Neodiprion lecontei: one gene and its partner. Each later gene encodes a partner of the first gene's protein in a complex. Links are inferred from orthologs where the notes say so. Each region holds a gene or a part of one and is shown in the gene's direction. Other genes may lie near its edges.

Region 1 (11,033 bases):
GACTCGCACTGCACCTACTTCGCTCCCCAGAACTAACACGAATATCACCCATGGCTGGCTACTTTTTGACTTACCGACTCTAGCGGCAAAAATGGGAAGTAAATAATTCGCGTGAAGTGAGGACGGAAGTGGAATTGAAGTAGCGTGCGCAACCTTTCGCGTTCCCCGACAAGAAGCGCAAACATGGCTGAGGTGAAGTATTACGGATTTTGTTGAATAATCCAAAAATATCTTTACGATCCTTAAAAAAAATGATACTACTGTTAATTCTCTGGTTTTTCTCGATTCACCCTAGATGTTTTTGATGATATTTACGTTTGTTTAGTCGTTATAAACCCCCGCTCTAATGCGTTCCTTTCACCGACACAGGCTGACCGTTAATCGTTAATTTTGTTGCAGGTTGATGAAACTCAGAAGAAGAAGAGGGCCTTCAGGAAGTTTACCTTCCGAGGCGTCGACCTGGACCAACTCCTCGACATGCCCAAGTGAGTCAAGATTCAAATCTACGCTCGCGTTTACGAATGTCAATAGCCGACCTAACCTTACTTTTTTCATCGATTCACCTAACGTCAAAGTTACTGATATCGATTTGATGAACACTCGTAATTGGGAGTTAATTATAATAATTAATCTTTTGAATCTATCTGATTACAGTGAACAGCTGATGGAGCTGCTACACGCTCGTGCTCGCAGGCGTTTTTCACATGGTCTCAAGCGCAAGCCGATGGCTCTTGTGAAGAAACTCCGTAAAGCGAAGAAGGAGGCTCCTCCAAATGAGAAGCCAGAAATTGTCAAGACTCACCTTCGCAACATGATCATTGTCCCAGAAATGGTTGGATCCATTGTTGGCGTCTATAACGGAAAGACTTTCAACCAGGTGGAAATTAAGCCTGAGATGATCGGACACTACCTTGGGGAGTTTTCTGTCACCTACAAGCCTGTTAAGCATGGTAGGCCTGGTATTGGTGCTACTCACTCCTCCAGGTTTATTCCTCTCAAGTAAATTGCTTGTATGTAATAAATAAACGGCGTAAAATTCCATTTTCTGATCCATCGTTTTATAATGATTCACTCCATTACCAATCAGATATTTCCTCTCTAATTACTTGAAAAATCATATCCAGCAGATTTCTAGAGAATTGACTGATTTCGAGTCATGTGCACAAGTTTTCTTTCCCAACATTTGTCTGCTACGCGTGGCTCGGAGTTTGCCCTTTCAGTAGAGATTCTCTGTATCTGTGCTCTATTTTAAAATACAGTACGTACTCAATCTTTATGAATGCATGAATAATTAATTACCACTTGACAAGAAATATCAAAAGCAAGTCAATTCGGGTATAAAAATAGGAAGCTTTATTCGTCACGTACACAACAATTCTATATGATAATAATTTCATAATAATTAGAACTTGATGATGCTGTCTTTGAAAAAACGGGAGAACAATGTTACACGGTCTAATATACACACACATTTTATAACATTAATAGTTTTGTTGCAGAGTAAACATTTGTTGAGAATATTAGTTTGAGGTAAAATATTAAATCACAGAAGCTTTATTATTGCTACATGAACTTGGATTGTTGTCTGACACACTTGGACTATTAAATGCAACATTGTCATCTGATTTACCTTTAAAGAAAAATTTCCTATCTGAGGCACATGTACCGTCATCAGCCAATATTACGGAATTCTGACTAGTTTTCTCAAATATTTCTTGTTTGACTTGAAGTTCCGTATCGACATCTTCTTGTTTCACCTTATCCATCTCTATGATTTCAGTGTTTCTCATCACAGACTTACCGTCCAATATATGGTCTACATTTTCTGTCTTTAACATTCTATCATCGGTTGCAGGTATTTTTTCTTTGCTCAACTTTTTCGGAAATTCTTCCTTTTCTCGTTCATACATGAAGGTCTTTCGCTTTCGCTGCGTTGGCTTACAAACTTTTTTGTACAATATTTTCATCTCTTTGACACGTGCTGTCGGTATTGTCCAATCCATCTGATTGGATGTCATGTCTGTGTTTCTTGTTGGATCTAATTTGCTGTCGTACTCTGGTAATTCCAGACCTAATTTCTTCATTACCATCACTATGATGTCATCGACCATACCGTTTATCACCAAATCTGCTTTTTTATCCTAAAATAATGATCGTCCGTCAAAACATTTAGTTGATAATTGTATTAAGAGACAAGACTGAGGTTACGGTTGAAATAAAATTAATGAAGTCTACTTGAAAAGCATCCTTACATGCTTCGTTGGCTGCAGATTGCAAATAACAAGTCTGCCACCATACTTCTTTGTATAAAGAGGCAAGTTCCCACTTGGTATGATTTGTAAAGTTGTTCCCAGACAAATGCTCAAATCGGCAACACTGTAATTGAAAAATTGTTGACAATTTGATTTATATTTTTCTTCTGAAGTGCCAGAAATCAAAACGTGGTTAAAAAAGTTATAACAATGGAATACAAACTGACCTGGCATGAAGGTCTGACAGTGCTAAGTCATTGTCAGGTAAGTTATGCTCCCAGTCAAGTATCGTGTCATGCATTCGACCTCGACAAGGTCGTCCTCCAATTTGTTCAGATCGACATACCGTTCCCAAACATTTTTTCCCAACACTCTTTGTAGCAAGGTTGCGAATAAATTGTCTGTGAACCAAATCAGGAAGTGCGTTATGATCTCGCGATAATTTAGGGTACGAATATTGTTTTACACTCGAATCACACCTCTAATTAAGCATATCAATTCTTACAGTGTAAACAAACTTGTACCTTCCACACTTGTCACACTGTTCAGTGAACATATTTCCATGCAACTCTGCAAGCTTCTGCCGCTGAACTCCAGATCGCAGGTGCAGTCCGTCAATATTTTGGCTCACAATGAATTTGACCTTATCTGTGGAGCAACAAAATCCGATTAGGATCAGATTCAACATTTCATATTGTTTTCCTAATTTGTTAATTAATTTTCCACAGTCTTATGCTAGGTACACCCTTACTGCAATCAATCAACTTCTTTAAAGCCATGTGAGTCTTGGTTGGCTTTGCTTCGTCAAATGATATATTCATTTCAGGTTTCAACCCTTTCTCCTCCAAAGTCCAGACACCCTTCGGTCCTCTATGGATGGAAACATATAACATTAAGGTTGTTACGTTTGAGAAGTGACGTATTTTTTGCATTCATTTGAACTGGAAGTATATTATTAGGCGATTTTGGTACACAGGATTATCCAAGTTTGAAAAGACAGTAACATAAAAATATTGTGCTGAATTGATACATCAATTCATGTTCTAAATATAACAATAACTTGACATATAGAATAATCGTCTCATGTATACAATGTGCGTAATATCAATAAATTTTGCAGTAGACGACATGTCCATTTAATTCAGAAAATTAGCAACAAATCTGAATTACCCTATCAATCTCTCTGTGAATTATTCGAAATTAATTTGAAAAAGCACAAATCGGATATATCTAATAGAATAAAACGAATGAATTAGAAACGAAGTTGGAGGAAAAAATTCGAGATGATCTAAATTCAAAAATTCATGGCACAAATATTCCCGCTTGTCATAGCTGTCACGGTATCGCAAAACTCTTTTATGAATCTATACTGTACGAAGAGAGTGTTATTTTCGATGAAATTATCCGCAAATCATCTCGTGATTGCAATCTACTAGAGCTGACGTTGGCACGTAATGTCATGACGCCGAAGTACCCTAATTACAATTACTAACGAGCGTCCTCGAATGAATGAATTACCTAAAATCGGGAATACCGGCAGCGGTACTGATTCCCGCGCCGGTGTGAACGACAACATGACGTGCCCCGTCTATCCAATCAGCCAACAAATCGCATTTGATACGAAGAGTCTCGGCGCTGTCGAATTTCTAAAAAGGAGGAGAGTGGCATTGGGTTATTGATTCGCCTGGAGGATCAGCAATTACTGCCCAATGGCGATATCGCCAAGCCAACTTCGGACCGTACATAACGGCGAAAATTACCTCCTCGAGGCCAAGCTGACCCTTGTTCTCGTACGGCGATAAACCATCGGCGTAGCTGCATGACATCGTCCCTCTCCCCTCACGCCCTTCCGCCGAGCGGCTAACAATGGCCGCAGAGCAACAACCCTTGTTGCCAAATAATAATCCGCCCCCTACCCCCGTCGATGATGACGTAATTATTATCAAAAATCCACGTTTAAATGCTCGGGTTCGTGCGTTTCCGCCGACCTTCGGTGATGAAATTTAATATAAACAATTTTAAAATTATGATTATGATTTGCCGGGAACTTTACGATTACTGATGAGACACCGGTAAACGACAAAATGTCGATGAAAATTTTCAGAAATAAATCTAACTCAGGTTTATTCACTATTTGGAATCCACGGGACACCACCAAATATCCACAACGAACACCAGAAAAGATCATAAAACTACTCTTTGCGCAAAGCAGGTTGCGCGTTGGAGCGACGCTCGGCGTCGTCCAACGTCGTCGCGGACTCTTCTGCCACCTAAAAGTCCGTCGTGGAACTAATTTGAACGAACGTTCGACGCTCCGATTGCAACTTTTTGACACCCAGCATCAAATGACTTACAACGGATTGTCGTTGGCGAAGATCCATTTTATACAGGAGAGATCGTATTCTCTGGATTAAGTTACGTTTTAGAAATTTCGGGGCTTCAGTTTATCCAAGGTTAATAACGGACCGTGGCAACCTGTTCCGTGTTCTACGTTTGTTGTTGGTTCCGTTGTAATCCTGCACCGAAACTATGAGTCGCAGGAGAGCACATGACGATGACGATGGATACGGTATGATTACTGATAGAAAACATGCTCTCATCTCACCATATGTTAGAGTATCGCACCGCTCGCAGCCATTTCAAACTACCCCGATTTATATTGAATTTTTAAGTATCAACGCTAGTCGAATTCATTGAACCTAACCTTATTTAATCTAACCTTATTTTTGGCCCAATCATTGTACCTGATGCTTATTAGTCGCATATGTATGTACATACGTATTTGTGAGAAATTCTTCTTACTCCACATTTTTGTTTTCAATTAATCTAATGACATTGAAGACGAATCTCAGAGTAGATGGTCGTATGCTATGATGAACTTCAATTTGCAGACCGCGTCTATAAGAAGCGGAGGAGGGTATCAGAGAATCAGGAAATTGAAGATCGCCTGGAATCGCTTATATTGCGAGTGGGTGAAAAGTCAACTTCGTCATTAGAAAGTAATTTGGAAGGGTTAGCGTCTGTGCTAGAAGCGGATCTCGGTGTGTTTCGTACTAAGATTCTCCGAATATTGACTGATTGCGCTATAAAAATGCCAGAGAAATGTACGATCTACACGACGCTGGTGGGGCTGCTGAATGCAAAGAATTTCAACTTTGGTGGTGAATTTGTTGACTATATGGTGAAAAATTTTAAAGATTCTTTAAAAAGTTGCAAATGGAACGCTGCTAGATATTCGCTCCGGTTTCTTGCTGACTTAGTCAACTGTCACGTTTTATCTTGCGGGTCGCTTATGCAGCTCTTTGATAATATGTTAGACACGGCAAATGAGGACAGCGTACCTCAAGTTAGACGAGACTGGTACGTTTTTGCTGTTCTCTCAACCCTGCCGTGGGTTGGTCGAGAGTTATATGAAAAGAAAGAGCAAGAACTGGATCACCTTATGGTCACCATTGAAGTATTTTTGAACAAACGAAGTAAGAAACATCAACCTGCTCTAAAAGTATGGTCCAGTGACACACCTCACCCTCAGGAAGAATATTTGGACTGTCTCTGGGCTCAAGTACGAAAATTGAGGCAGGATAATTGGGCGGAAAAACACATTCCTCGACCATATCTTGCTTTCGACTCTATTTTATGTGAAGCTCTACAACACAATCTTCCAACGCTTCTGCCTCCACCACACCATGAATCTTACACGTACCCAATACCAACTGTTGTATTTCGCATGTTTGACTATACTGACTGTCCAGCGGAAGGGCCACTGCTGCCTGGCAGTCATGCTATAGAGAGATTTCTTATCGAAGAACATCTTCGGCAAATTATTGATAATCACTTTTTTGAAAGAAAAGATTGGTAAGTTTCATCTTCTGTTATTCTCGTTTTCTTAATTACTTCTTTTTTACTTACATTGTAATCATTTTCGATTTTTGCTGGTAATACTTTGTTATATGATTTCACTTCAAAACCAGTAATACCTATTTTCAATGAAGCTATTTTTATTCTGATTTACAGCGCGGCGCAATTATTGAACTTTCCATACAAAGCAAAAATTCCACTTGATTATTCTATTGTGGAAGTAATGTTTGGAGAACTCTTCAGATTACCATCTCCAAAACATTTGGAAATCTGCTATGGATCGATTTTGATTGAACTTTGTAAGTTGCAACCATCGACTATGCCACAGGTAATATAAATGATAAATTCCCAATGAGTTTAACTGGTAACGATAATAAATTTCGCTGTGTTATAGTATCTTATACACCCTGCACTGTATTATAAAGGTTTTAGCACAGGCTACCGAAATTTTATTCCGTCGCATCGACAGCATGGCTGCGGCAGCATTCGATAGATTTGTTTGGTGGTTTGCCTATCATCTGAGCAACTTCCAATTTCGTTGGTCATGGGAAGATTGGGACTCATGCCTCCAGCGTGACCCTGAACATCCTCGGCCTAAATTCATAAAAGAAGTGCTGCTGAAAGCATTGAGGTAAGAAATGATTTTTCCTCATTTCTACAAGATGAAAGTTCCAGCTTATCCTTTAAACAAAATATACAAACCATTTTTTGTTGGATCAAAGATTGAAAAATCAGAGATATTTTGATAATTACCATGCATCAATGTATCAAAAAATACTTTTTGTTACAGACTATCCTACTTCCAAAGAATTCGCGATATGATGCCAGAAACTTACGCCGAACTGATCCCTTTGCCTCCAGAACCAATTTACAAGTACACTTCCGAAGGCGCAAGTCAGTATTTTTACACTCTGATATTTGATATCTCATCACAGTATCATTTCATTATCATAAATTTTACATTATATTAGAATGTCATCTTTTCTTGAATAAATCTTTCTAGCAATCGACTTTGCTCAATTTTTTTCAGGCACACTTCCTGGAACTTCTGCAGCCCATGAACTAGTTGTTTCAATACGCCGCAAATGCACCCCTGAAGAAGTATTGACCGTTTTGAATACCTTACCAGGTCAAGGAGACAATGAGGAATCAAACACATTCAATCCGTTGAAAATTGACGTATTTGTACAGACGTTGCTTAACCTGGGGTCAAAGAGCTTCAGCCACAGTTTCGCCGCTATTGGGAAGTTTCATTATGTATTCAAGGTAAGAATAGTTTTCTCTTATAAAATCATTATATTGAACTATATCATTTCATACCTATGTTAAATAGTTTGACAAAATTTTGTGGCATTGAACCTAACTGCAGACTTTTGCTTGTTTTTCATAGGCTCTGGCCGAATCAGAGGAGGCACAAATATGCATTCTAAGAAATATGCATGCCCTATGGAAAAATCATTATCAAATGATGGTTGTACTCTCAGACAAATTCTTAAAGACTGGAATAATTGAATGCAGTGCTATAGCCAATTGGATATTTTCTCGGGAAATGACATCTGAATTTACTAAGTGAGTCAATGTAATTTTGAACCAATTCTACAAACTTTTATCTTAGAATTTAATTAATAATCGAAAATAGAATATGACTCTTAGAACTTGGTACTAATTTTAACCAAGCTAAATATCGCAACCCCATTATTTTCAGACTCTACATCTGGGAAATTCTTCATTTGACGATCCGTAAAAAGAATAAACATGTCATTAAACTGAACACAGAAGTGACGGAGGCCAGAGAAAAGTTACGAAGGGCGGAAAGTAGATCTGGATCGTCTTCGGAAGATGAGGACAATACTAAAGATAAGTCGGGAGAAAGACCATCTGAAGACGTTGTAGAGCGAATGGAAGAAAAATTGGAAGCTGCTCAAGCAGATCAAAAGAATTTATTCCTCATCATTTTTCAGGTATAATTATTAATATTACATACTTGCAATCTCGGTTGAACATGTTATGTAAGCTGTGAGATGGCACTTATTCAAAACACTTGATAATTGCTTTTTTATTCTTTTACAGCGTTTTATTATGATTCTTTCCGAACATCTTGTTAGATGTGATACAGATGGCATCGATTACAATACTCACTGGTACAGATGGACTATTGGAAGGTTGCAGCAGGTATTTTTGGCTGTAAGTAAAAAAAAAAAAACCCTCAACGCTTCTTTAGTGGCTTTCTTGGACTACCAAACTGATCGCTTAGAAGAGTGTAATGCATTATAGAAAGCTGTTAATCAGTTCGCAAGTGTTATGATTAATTCACTACAAGTTAAAAGAGAAATTTTACTTCTTTTTTTAGCATCACGAACAAGTACAAAAATACTCGTCAACACTGGAAACACTTTTGTTCACGCCAGATCTGGATCCACACATTCTTGACGTATTTCACCAGTTTGTTTCGTTACGTGCATAAGATGTTCAAATCACTGAACGTTTCGTCTTCAAGGGATTGGTATGAAGTATGATATATACATATATTATACATATACAGTTATATTATTTTATTGATAACTCTTAGGACAATTTCAGTCGTGAATATTAGGTAAATAGAGTTTCCGAGTATATTTAAATGACATTTGATTATCCGTATTTATGTTAATGTACATCAAGTCTAAATTGTTGTTGGAATTTTTTCAATCGGTAGCAGAATATTCAGTTCTACCTATAGTGTTGTATGCTAATGAAAGTCAGCAGTTTGCTGGCAATGTACATGGGTGTATATACAGAAACCTATACACCTGAATAATATTGAATCAAAATTATCTATTACCGACTCATGCAAGCAAATGTAGAGGAAGAGAAAGACTTTATTTTAATCCAATTAAAAATTGAATGCTTGAACAGTTTACCTGTTTCAAATTGCATCACCTGGGCGATAATATGACAGAATTTCACTGCAGATATGAATGGACCGTATGTAACGATATTATCATAGGGATTCACAAGTGTCATAATGTTACAGTTTGGAGATATACTCACGAGTATGTATGTATATCAATCTACTGAGTTTTCTGACGTGTCATGTGAGTCAAAATTTCTTCAACGTCATCCTTTGACCCCAAAAATATTGGGCTCCTTTGATGAATAGTAGATGGTATAATGTCCAGTATGCTCATTTCACCATTTGTCGCAAGGCCACCAGCTTGCGTTAAAATGTATGCCATGGGTATGCACTCATAGAGGAGACGAAGCTAGCAACAAAATCAAAATCATACATTTTATTTACACATTGTGTAATGCTGTTTTTCACATTTGTTTGGGAAAAGTAGTTTAGTTATTCAGTGAACTTCTAACCTAAGATAACTTCTACACCAGCTGTTCAGTATCAGTTTAATATTAGACCAAATTGTCAATGGATATTGCTTCGGTAAAACATGCCTCAAAACTAATCATAATCCCAGAATCGCTGTAGCCATATTTTGATTGTGCATTCTTGCGAATTTCGTGTTACCAAACATGTACCACGATAATTGTATGCACTGGTCAGAAAGTGCGTGTATCAGTTAGGCGAAATTTATAGAATTGTGCACAGGTAGGCTCTGTTATTTAAATTGAATAATACCTTTCCCTTTGGGCTCTCTGTTGTTGCTGGGTACATAAATATCCCACCGTATTTGAGTGTCCTGTGTACATCAGCTACCATTGAACCCACGTATCTGGCATTGTACGGCTTGCCAGTTGCTGGGTATTTTTTTGAATGGACATAATCCTTTATCGCCGATGACCACTTACTTTCGTGAGCTTCATTTATGCTGCAGCATAAAAACAATAAATTATTGTTCGCCATTTAAACTAACTCGATTTCACGTGATACGTTAAGCCCATCCATAAAAGTACTTGTATAAAGTAGGTATCATTTTATTTACGTATCAATTCGATATATAATTTACTTGTTGCAAGGTACACTTTAGGTTCAATTCAAATAAAATTTGATTTATGTCAGGTTTATGAGTATTGACTTTGTTGTTCTGTTCTTGTGCGCATATTTTAGAATACCTGTAAATTTTTCCTCTTGACGGTATTCTCATGTCCTGATCTGTTAATATAAATTCGCCAATAGCTGGATCGTACATAAAGCCATTGACACCCTGACCAATTGAGAGTACCAACATAGTTGCCGAACCATACAACGCATATCCCGCTGCTACCAGATTACGACCTGGCTGTAGAGCATCAGCAACTGTCGGTGCTCCGGTTGAGCCTTCTTGTTTTTTGTAGATTCCAAATATTGAGCCAATGGATATTAGGCAATCAATGTTTGACGAGCCGTCCAAAGGATCAAAGCAGACGATGTATTTCCCCTGTTTGCCAACTTCTACTTCGATCACAGTTTCATTTTCTTCACTGATTAGGAGACAGGTCGTAAATGAAGATGTCAGCATGTTTATAAAGAGTTCATTGCTGAGGACATCTAATTTTTTGACTTCTTCACCCTGAACGTTCGTGCACCCAGCAATACCGTACCTTTGAACCAAGTAAATTACATGTACATATGTACAACTAGCTACTTCAATGTGTAAAATTATCATATCGTTATTTAATATGCATATTAGACTATTGAAGATATTATTATTTTGCCTGTACCAAGGTTTAAACATTAGTTTTTAAAAAAAAATAAAATAAACACATCTTCCTGTCATGTAAAAATTTTCAGGTCAAGTGCAAGAAATGCTTCACACCGTGTGGGTATTTTCCATTTGAAATAAATGCATGAGTTCTTCGCGTCTTTAGTAATGAAAACTATATTGAAATGAAATGAAAACACTTTCTAACAGATAAATCGTTCGGGTGTGATCGTAAATGAACTTTTGTATACAAATTTTTATCCCATAATTTATTCACATATTGTCAATCACAAGTTCATAAAAATTC
Region 2 (7,913 bases), on another chromosome or scaffold:
TGGAAATTGGATCTCCAACTGCTCATCTCCCGGTTTAACTGAAAATTTCTTCCTTTTCTTTCTGTATTTTGAACATTTCCGATATAGCTTATGACTCCTGGGATTTGGAATTTTGGGGTAGGATAGGGACCTGGTGGTTTCATTGTGTCGCTAATGTTGCTTTTTACTTTTGCATGTTTCTTTGTGTGCTAGTAACGTTGCAACTTTCTGGCTCCTTATCCAGGGGATCTTCCGTATCTAGTTTATCGAGGAAGTCAAGAGGATAGGAATTGTCAAAGATATTCGGAAAACTTTTAAACTGTATGCCGGTATATACTCACTTCCGTAAGCAAAGTTGTAACCTATGTTTGCGTAATGTTTGGCAAGATCAACCCCTTCTGCGGCTTGTTTTGGGTAACAGAGCGAGGCCACGAGCAGACCACCCGTGGTTGTGTACAACGTTTTCTTGAACGCACCGCCTCGGAGGCTCAGTATTAGACCAGAAAGAGCTCCGATCCCGATCGCTCCCATTCGTGGCAAAACATTGCTCTCCTCCTTCAGGTACTCGTAGAGGGCTGTAGAAAAGACGAATTGTTATGAAGATGAGAGTTTTGTTACACGACCGTTTCTGTTCATGTGTAATAATTTTTTAAACCTTGCAGTAAAAGTCAACGGAGAATACAATAGTTTGCTGAAAAATTAAATTTTGATTTTGCACAGCATTTTGCAATATTTTATAACTAGACACCTCCGCTATCCATGTATTTATTTTTGAAACCAAATTTATATTCGCGTCTAACTGTTTTACAAATTCTTGAAAGGTAATTGTGACTTGATTGTGGAAAACATTGCGTAAGTGAGAAATCTATCCTTTGAAATGGGTGTTTTGAACTCTCTCTACAGGATGGCTGAGTTCTCCATACGACAGGATTTCAAAAGCAATTTCTCGTTATTCTTTACAGCGAAGTCAGTTACCAAATCCAGATAATAATCATAGCAGACATATTTGATGTAAATCATTTTAAAATAGATATTCCCAACTAAATCTTATTTCAAGATTTTTCCATGATCCTCTGTTGCAAAGTGGAATTCTCAACTAGAATTACCTTAATTTTCAGCAAACATCTTATAGCTACATAAATTTGTTTACTGAATGTATATTTAGAAATATTTGAGAAGATGGGGGAAAAATTGTCATAAGAATCGGATCGAAGGAAAAATTGTTTCGTGCAATTCATCATGGGTCGAACCTGGTATGCTCCTTGCATCTTTGAGCAACATTTTTTTATACTGTACATGTCGAACTTTGTCTGGATCCATTATAAAAGTCCTTATTAACCAGACACGACGGGTATCATATGGAAAATTTTTTCTTCGTCATTTATTTTCTTACAAATTGGAGTAGCTGGAATATGAACAAATAACGTTTGATTGCGAGTCTAGCAGATGCTAAGGACCTACGGCAGTGATGTTCTGCTTCAAATTTGAATTTCCGTTGTTTACAGTGATACGAATAAGTACATCGACTTACATTCACTGTGTGCAACTCCTGTATCTATTTTGTCTGTAATAGATTCGGTAATATGTTGATACTGCGTGAAAACACCAGACAAGGACTTCCTGATCGTGCCAAAACCCTGTTCCAAGTACGACGGCTCACAATTGACAGGTGTGGGGCTGAAACAATGCATGTCTAGTTTAGAACATCATGACTCTCGATAATGTAAGCAACCTAAGAAAAATTATGTCTAATACTGCTGATACTTGTGCTGAAATAATTCACACATTTTATGGCTGAACCAATGTTATGAAGTGCGGGATAAAGGGGGACGCGATCGAAAGGATGCCTTACTGGGTTCGTTTGCTCTGAGGGACGTCGAGTCAGATATCCAAGCATCAATTGCAGGCTTGACTGAAAACAATTCTGAGCGTTGATCAATTACTTGCTTTACCATTGGTCCACTTTTGACGGTGAGCCAAGCGTATATATCGGCAACTCGGAGGGGCGAATCAACTTCTTTTCGTCTAGTTCGCAAGGCGTTGGACAATTTGACGGAGGAGGGGCCGGCTTGACGATCGGTGTCGCTGCGCACAGCCCACAAGGCATCAGGAATTTCTTGAAAAACTTAAGTAACAACAATTGTTAAAAATATGAATTTAAAATAGAATTGGAAATCGGAGTACTGATAAAATTGATATCAAAATTTGAAATTAAATGTCTTTCTACTCCGTCACGCAATATTTACCTTGATTCCGTGCATGTTGGTCGACGGATTATTTCTCTTCTACTTATACCGAAAGGTCGGATAACCTATCAAGAGTGTCACTGGTCAGTCAGCTGTACCAGCAGACATTCACGTGACGTAATCGACGAAGAATATTCTTGACCGGAACGAGCGGAACGGGCGGAACGCGGACCCGATTGTTTAAATTTAATGTCCGCGTGATGTTGGGAAAAAATTTCACAACAAGCTGCGATTCGGATATGCACGATACCAACGGTTGTGAAATGCGAATATGCGAGGTAACGAGAATTTGAAACGGATGTTTTTCGATGCTATTAACGCTATGTGTGTATAATTAACGGTAAAAACATTTTCCCTCTTCGCAGTGTCAATCACGCATGCAAGTGAAGATGGAAAAAACAATTGACCTTGTTTTTACAACTCTCGACTTGTTCGTTATTCCTTTTCTTTTACGTCGTCTCTTTCCGTCAATTATTAGCCACATGTTGTGCGCTTGTACAACTATTGCATACCCGTTATACATCGTCCTGCATCTTGAAGAATTATCTTATCTTTTCCTCAATACCGACATTGAACTCATGGACGATCCATGCGCACAGCATCGCTGAAATGGGTCTTAAAAATGACGTGATAAAGATACGTACTTTAACGCCGGTTCGGCCAAATTCGACCAAAGTTCCTGGTTGGTAGTCGTCGCAACGATCGACCGGCTCTCGACAAGTTATGTCTTTACCAAAAATATTGCCAACCGTTTTTTCCAAAATACTGTGCACAATGTCCTTCATCCTCCGTTATATTGGTTCTTAATCTTTCGCTCACGTCTTACATATCAAACTAATAATTTACCATTTGGATTTGTTGCGTTTTCAGGTTGAATTTCGGGTTGGGTCGTTCAAATATGGCGGGTTCGTCGCAGTCCGTTTCCAGCTTTCCGCTCGGCTCGCGGTCCACCGTCCGCGTTCCTATCGAGCAAAACGTCGGAACGCAGCGTAAACGCCATAAACGCACGTATGTCGGAGTTTGACGGCGCATTTGACTTTTCTGGTCGAATAAACACATTGGGATACTACAAAAGTTGATTACCAAATTCACGGTACGAGGATAAAGCGATGGCACTATCGACCAGTCCAATTTCACCGTCGGTTGACCTCAGCTCTTATCGTGACCAGCACTTTAAGGTTCGTACTTCGATCACTCTACGCTAACATAACCTGTTCAATAACATTCGACGTGTTAAAAAACATTATTACTCCTCCTTTAGGGATCTCGAGTTGAACAGGACCGATTATTAAGGAACTCGACGACTCTGTACATTGGTAATCTCTCGTTTTACACTACAGAGGAGCAGATATATGAACTATTTTCAAAGTGCGGAGACATTAGACGAATTATTATGGGACTGGATAAGTACAAAAAAACTCCATGTGGATTTTGCTTCGTCGAGTACTATTTGAGACCCGATGCGGAAAACTGTATGCGATATGTTAATGGGACCCGTTTAGACGATAGAATTATACGTACGGATTGGGACGCTGGGTTCATCGAAGGCAGACAGTATGGTCGAGGAAAGACAGGTGGTCAGGTAAGATACTTTATTCTATACCTGAATATCGGGGAACTTGAATACGGGGCACCGACTAATTCTGCCAGTCAGGAAACTTATCTAATAGTTTGAATTGATTTTAAGATTCAAGTTGATACTTTAACATGTTGCGTGAGTTACTATAATGATTGATAATTTTCATCTAATTACCAGGTCAGAGACGAGTACAGATCCGACTTTGACGGTGGCAGAGGTGGCTATGGAAAAATAATCCAACAAAAAGTAACACCCGTTGTGGATGGGGCATTTGGTCGATGAAGTACACACTTATGGATGACAATCACATTTGATCATGATCGGTGATGTGCGTATTGTTTAATTCTATTCATTGACAACTACAGGCATATTGTGATGAATATACAAAGATTTGGGGTGACAAAGAACTTTCGTGTGCGAAAGAGTTATTCTATCTGGTTCTCCTTATTTCATTTATTTATATTTGTGTAAGTCATTAAATGATTCATGTTTCGTGACAAATGGAAGAAAGGTTTTCACACCCACAATATGCACGTAAAAAAACTTTATTCCTACGGATATTATATTTAATATGTATAACGTACACGCGCGATACAACTTTGGTTGACAGTTGAAGATTTTTTTTTTTATTAATTATTATATTTTGTACAGAAAAGACACACGTATATTCGCACATTATACATTACAATTATATATGCATATCGTATTGTTCTGGATATAAGCCGAGGTTTTTTTGTCGTTGACAGCAGCCGCCAAAATCGTCGTCGTCTAATACGCGGACCAGTCTTCTGTGCGTGTAATCAAGAAAAACATCCTGAAATACTGTCGCAGAATTCGGGGACCGCTTATACTCTGAACAATACTGTATATATATATATGTATGTACACGGCAGGACTCGAGAGGGATTCTTTGGTTATAATTCGTTCTTTTCGCGTCTTTTAGTATCAGAAATGAAGCTTCGGCGATATAACTTGTCCAATCATAATATTAATGTTATTAATGGTAGGCACCGGTTAAAATAATAATAATAATAGTAATGCTAAAATTAATAACAATAATCTTATCGTTTCTTATTGACGGGTAGCCCCGTAACATCAACAATTTTCAAAGTACCGCGTGAATATATGTGATGTATACGATTGTGCTTGTATTCCGTTTCAAAGAATACCGCACAGTCTCCGCGGTGCCGGTTTTTTCAGCACGGATCTAATCCCCTCTACAAATACCTCTTCCAGTCCCTCTGACTTTATTGCCGAACATTCGACGTATTTGTAGGCCTTGATTCTCTTCTTCATCTTCTTACATTCTGCCGGTGTTATTACATCCGTGTCCTCCCTGTTCCTCAGGTCACCCTTAGTGCCTATCCAAGATATATGATAAATAGTTTTAAGTGGAATCTAAAGTCTGATCAGTTGTTGGCAAACACACATCACTCGTAGCAGCATAATGTGGAATATTGAATACTTGAAATATTTATTACACACTTACCGACAAGGACAATTGGCACGTTGGGACAGTGGTGCTTGATTTCCGGATACCATTTGCTGGCTACGTTTTCGTACGAACTGCGCGCACTTATCGAAAAGCACAGGAGAAAACAATCCGTCTAAAATGAATATCGTAGTTTGGTTCGCAAAAAATATAATACGGGATTTTTGTAGTGTTAAAAATTTGATAGAATTTTCAACTACAGACGTAATTGAAATTGTAAACCTACGTTCGGGTACGACAAAGGCCTAAGCCTTTCGTAATCCTCTTGACCGGCTGTGTCCCAAAGCACCATATTGAACTCCTGTCCATCTACGCATATGTTGTCTGCATAGTTGTCGAACCTGGACGAAAGAAATGTTGAAAGTAACTGAAAGTATAGCTGATCTCTTTTCTGTTTACACTAAAAATATGTGATCACAGCATTGCGGTAAGGAATTGCAGATGTTCCTAGAATTGAAGCCCTTTCTTTCGCAAATCTTGACATGAACATGAATTACATATCAAATTATTTATTTTTTAAAACTTTCATTGCAATGAATTCGAATCAGAAAGAAATAGAAAACTTTTAATTTTAAATTAAGGGTTGAAATTCACCAGAGAGTGTCTTTTAGTCTATGAAAAATTGTATAAAGTTTGGTAATAGAACAGATTCGATTTGATTTGAAATTAGGGAATTAGTATGGCCGATTTATTTGATGTTTCTTGATGCTTACACTGTGGGAACGTATTCGGTGGGGAATTTCTTGGACGTGTATGTGATAAGCATGCACGTCTTACCGACCATGCCGTCACCAACCGCGGTGACCTTTATCGGTCGTATCCGAGACACCATACTCGCGTCCTCTGGAACAAAGAAGAGAATTTCCGGTGTTAAAATTTACGCGCGTGCACCCGTAAACTCGTTAATTATCGTTCATTCGCTGATACGGAGTGAAGACTTGACACTCTGATCGTAAAACTTTATTCTCGCACTTGACGAACTCTTTAAAGAACGGTCGGAAATCGATTACCGAGTTAAATTCATCCTGACTACAACTGCGTCGCACGTTCATTTTATCGACAGTTTTTTGGGCCGGTTGACAATTTAACCCTTTAACGGCCAAGCCTTTTTCCCCTTTAAAAAAAAAACATATCTTCCAACCGCTTGAAATTTTTCTCAATCAAAATATTTGAAAAATTACACCTTTTAAAAATACGATTTTTCTGTTTTCATCCTTAACCAAAAAGTTTTTCAAATGAAATTATTCAGTGAAAATTTTCTTTACCGTGCGTTACAATTTTTCAAATCATTTTACGGCTTCTAAATTCAAGTTGAAGATAATATTAAAAAAAATAGCTGTTTCGTCATTGTCGCAAATATGCTGCAACGGCAGTCAAAGGGTTAAAAAAGAAAAACCTATGCCTTACGACCTGCAAGTTGGAACAGTTGTAGCTCCTTGTTCCTCCAGCTCGGAATTCACGCTCGGCGCGCCTTCGCAAAACCAATTCATTAGACTCGCTCGTGTCACTCATTGTCAATCTACGCATCCTGTCCTCGCACGCGCTCCGGTAGTCGCCATAGTCTCATAGTCTCTCTTATCTCCGGCTCGTTTATTGTACTTAATTCCTACGTATTACCATCCCTCGGAACGCGCGGCCCTCGGAGCAAAGCACTTGTGCTCGCCTGTGTGGAATCGCAAATATTACACCTACGGAGTCGGTGCGTTCAAGTATCTCCTGCAGTGCATACGATGCATACGATGCATATTGGCAGACGGACAATCGTGATAAGCGGAAAAACGCGATGGTGACCACTTTGAGTAGGTATTTGTTTTTCAGACGAGAAAGAAGTTATCGCACGATACCGCCGCGTTTCTCCCCGTGCGATGCAGTTTGTGTCCTCCTCTCTACCACGGTGCAAATTATTTATACGATTTTCTACGAATTTTTAGGAAAATTGGGACATTTCGTAAAATTTTGTACAAACAATTGTTTTCCGTGAAAGATTGTAGATTTTCATGAAAATTTGTATTTTTTCAATTATAAATCTACAAGGCACTACAATTTTTAAATAACATTGACAAATCATTACGAAAAATTATGCGTATTTACAATTTTGAAAGAAATATGTAATACGAAATGGCCCAATTTCTGTAAATATTCTCAGTAGTAGAATTTTTCACCAGGGTCCCTCTCTCTTCTTAATGCTTGAAATTGTGTATAATGTTAATAACGTGAATTCTAACAGAGCCCGCATTAACTCGGGACGATTTAATTACGACGCTTACTTCATGCACGTTTGTTCTAAAACTGCAGGGACGTCCTGAGCCTCCCAAAGGCATCTTTTCAGCTACCAACAAACAGCTGTGGGTTGATAGATATAATATGATAATGAACACGCACATGTGAGTAGGACGACTGTGTGTATAAAACCGTGCTCGTCCTACATCCGGCGGGCAAGGCTCATATACTTATATGCAGTATCAATGGGCCTGTGCGGCGCCTCGCGCCGCATGACAATCAACTCTCGACCTTTTCCTTTTTCTTTTTCAACGTCCTACGATTCCTTCTCTCGGGCCGAGAGAAATTTCTTATTATCTTACATGCCGTATGATTCTGCACTGCCTGTAATACGAAT

Evidence for each region. The genes of interacting proteins can lie anywhere in the genome.
Region 2: nuclear cap-binding protein subunit 1 (region 1) and nuclear cap-binding protein subunit 2 share a complex: the UniProt entries of both Caenorhabditis elegans proteins name them as parts of the nuclear cap-binding complex. The link is inferred for Neodiprion lecontei from reciprocal best matches to the Caenorhabditis elegans genes ncbp-1 and ncbp-2.

What each region holds. Positions count from the first base shown.
Region 1 is NC_060264.1:26,558,771-26,569,803, forward strand, and holds nuclear cap-binding protein subunit 1, read left to right. Parts: upstream 1-4,543; 5' UTR 4,544-4,781; coding exon 4,782-4,821; intron 4,822-5,143; coding exon 5,144-6,107; intron 6,108-6,266; coding exon 6,267-6,438; intron 6,439-6,535; coding exon 6,536-6,741; intron 6,742-6,900; coding exon 6,901-7,004; intron 7,005-7,140; coding exon 7,141-7,376; intron 7,377-7,500; coding exon 7,501-7,679; intron 7,680-7,815; coding exon 7,816-8,071; exon of another isoform or gene 8,072-8,180; coding exon 8,181-8,294; intron 8,295-8,460; coding exon 8,461-8,574; 3' UTR 8,575-9,160; downstream 9,161-11,033. Other genes in the region: 40S ribosomal protein S15, read left to right, coding at 184-192, 400-485, 655-1,003; NAD-dependent protein deacetylase Sirt6, read right to left, coding at 1,539-2,141, 2,253-2,376, 2,480-2,653, 2,777-2,900, 3,004-3,122, 3,771-3,898, 4,013-4,078; fructose-1,6-bisphosphatase 1, read right to left, coding at 9,161-9,352, 9,724-9,913, 10,158-10,625. UniProt on the Caenorhabditis elegans protein: Component of the cap-binding complex (CBC), which binds cotranscriptionally to the 5'-cap of pre-mRNAs and is involved in various processes such as pre-mRNA splicing and RNA-mediated gene silencing (RNAi).
Region 2 is NC_060261.1:34,858,516-34,866,428, forward strand, and holds nuclear cap-binding protein subunit 2, read left to right. Parts: upstream 1-3,180; 5' UTR 3,181-3,334; coding exon 3,335-3,403; intron 3,404-3,486; coding exon 3,487-3,807; intron 3,808-3,981; coding exon 3,982-4,086; 3' UTR 4,087-4,132; exon of another isoform or gene 4,133-4,211; intron 4,212-4,407; exon of another isoform or gene 4,408-4,550; 3' UTR 4,551-4,854; downstream 4,855-7,913. Other genes in the region: MICOS complex subunit MIC27, read right to left, coding at 1-61, 168-237, 321-554, 1,511-1,656, 1,932-2,104, 2,226-2,240; ras-like GTP-binding protein RhoL, read right to left, coding at 4,963-5,165, 5,294-5,411, 5,523-5,637, 6,010-6,139. UniProt on the Caenorhabditis elegans protein: Component of the cap-binding complex (CBC), which binds co-transcriptionally to the 5' cap of pre-mRNAs and is involved in various processes such as pre-mRNA splicing and RNA-mediated gene silencing (RNAi).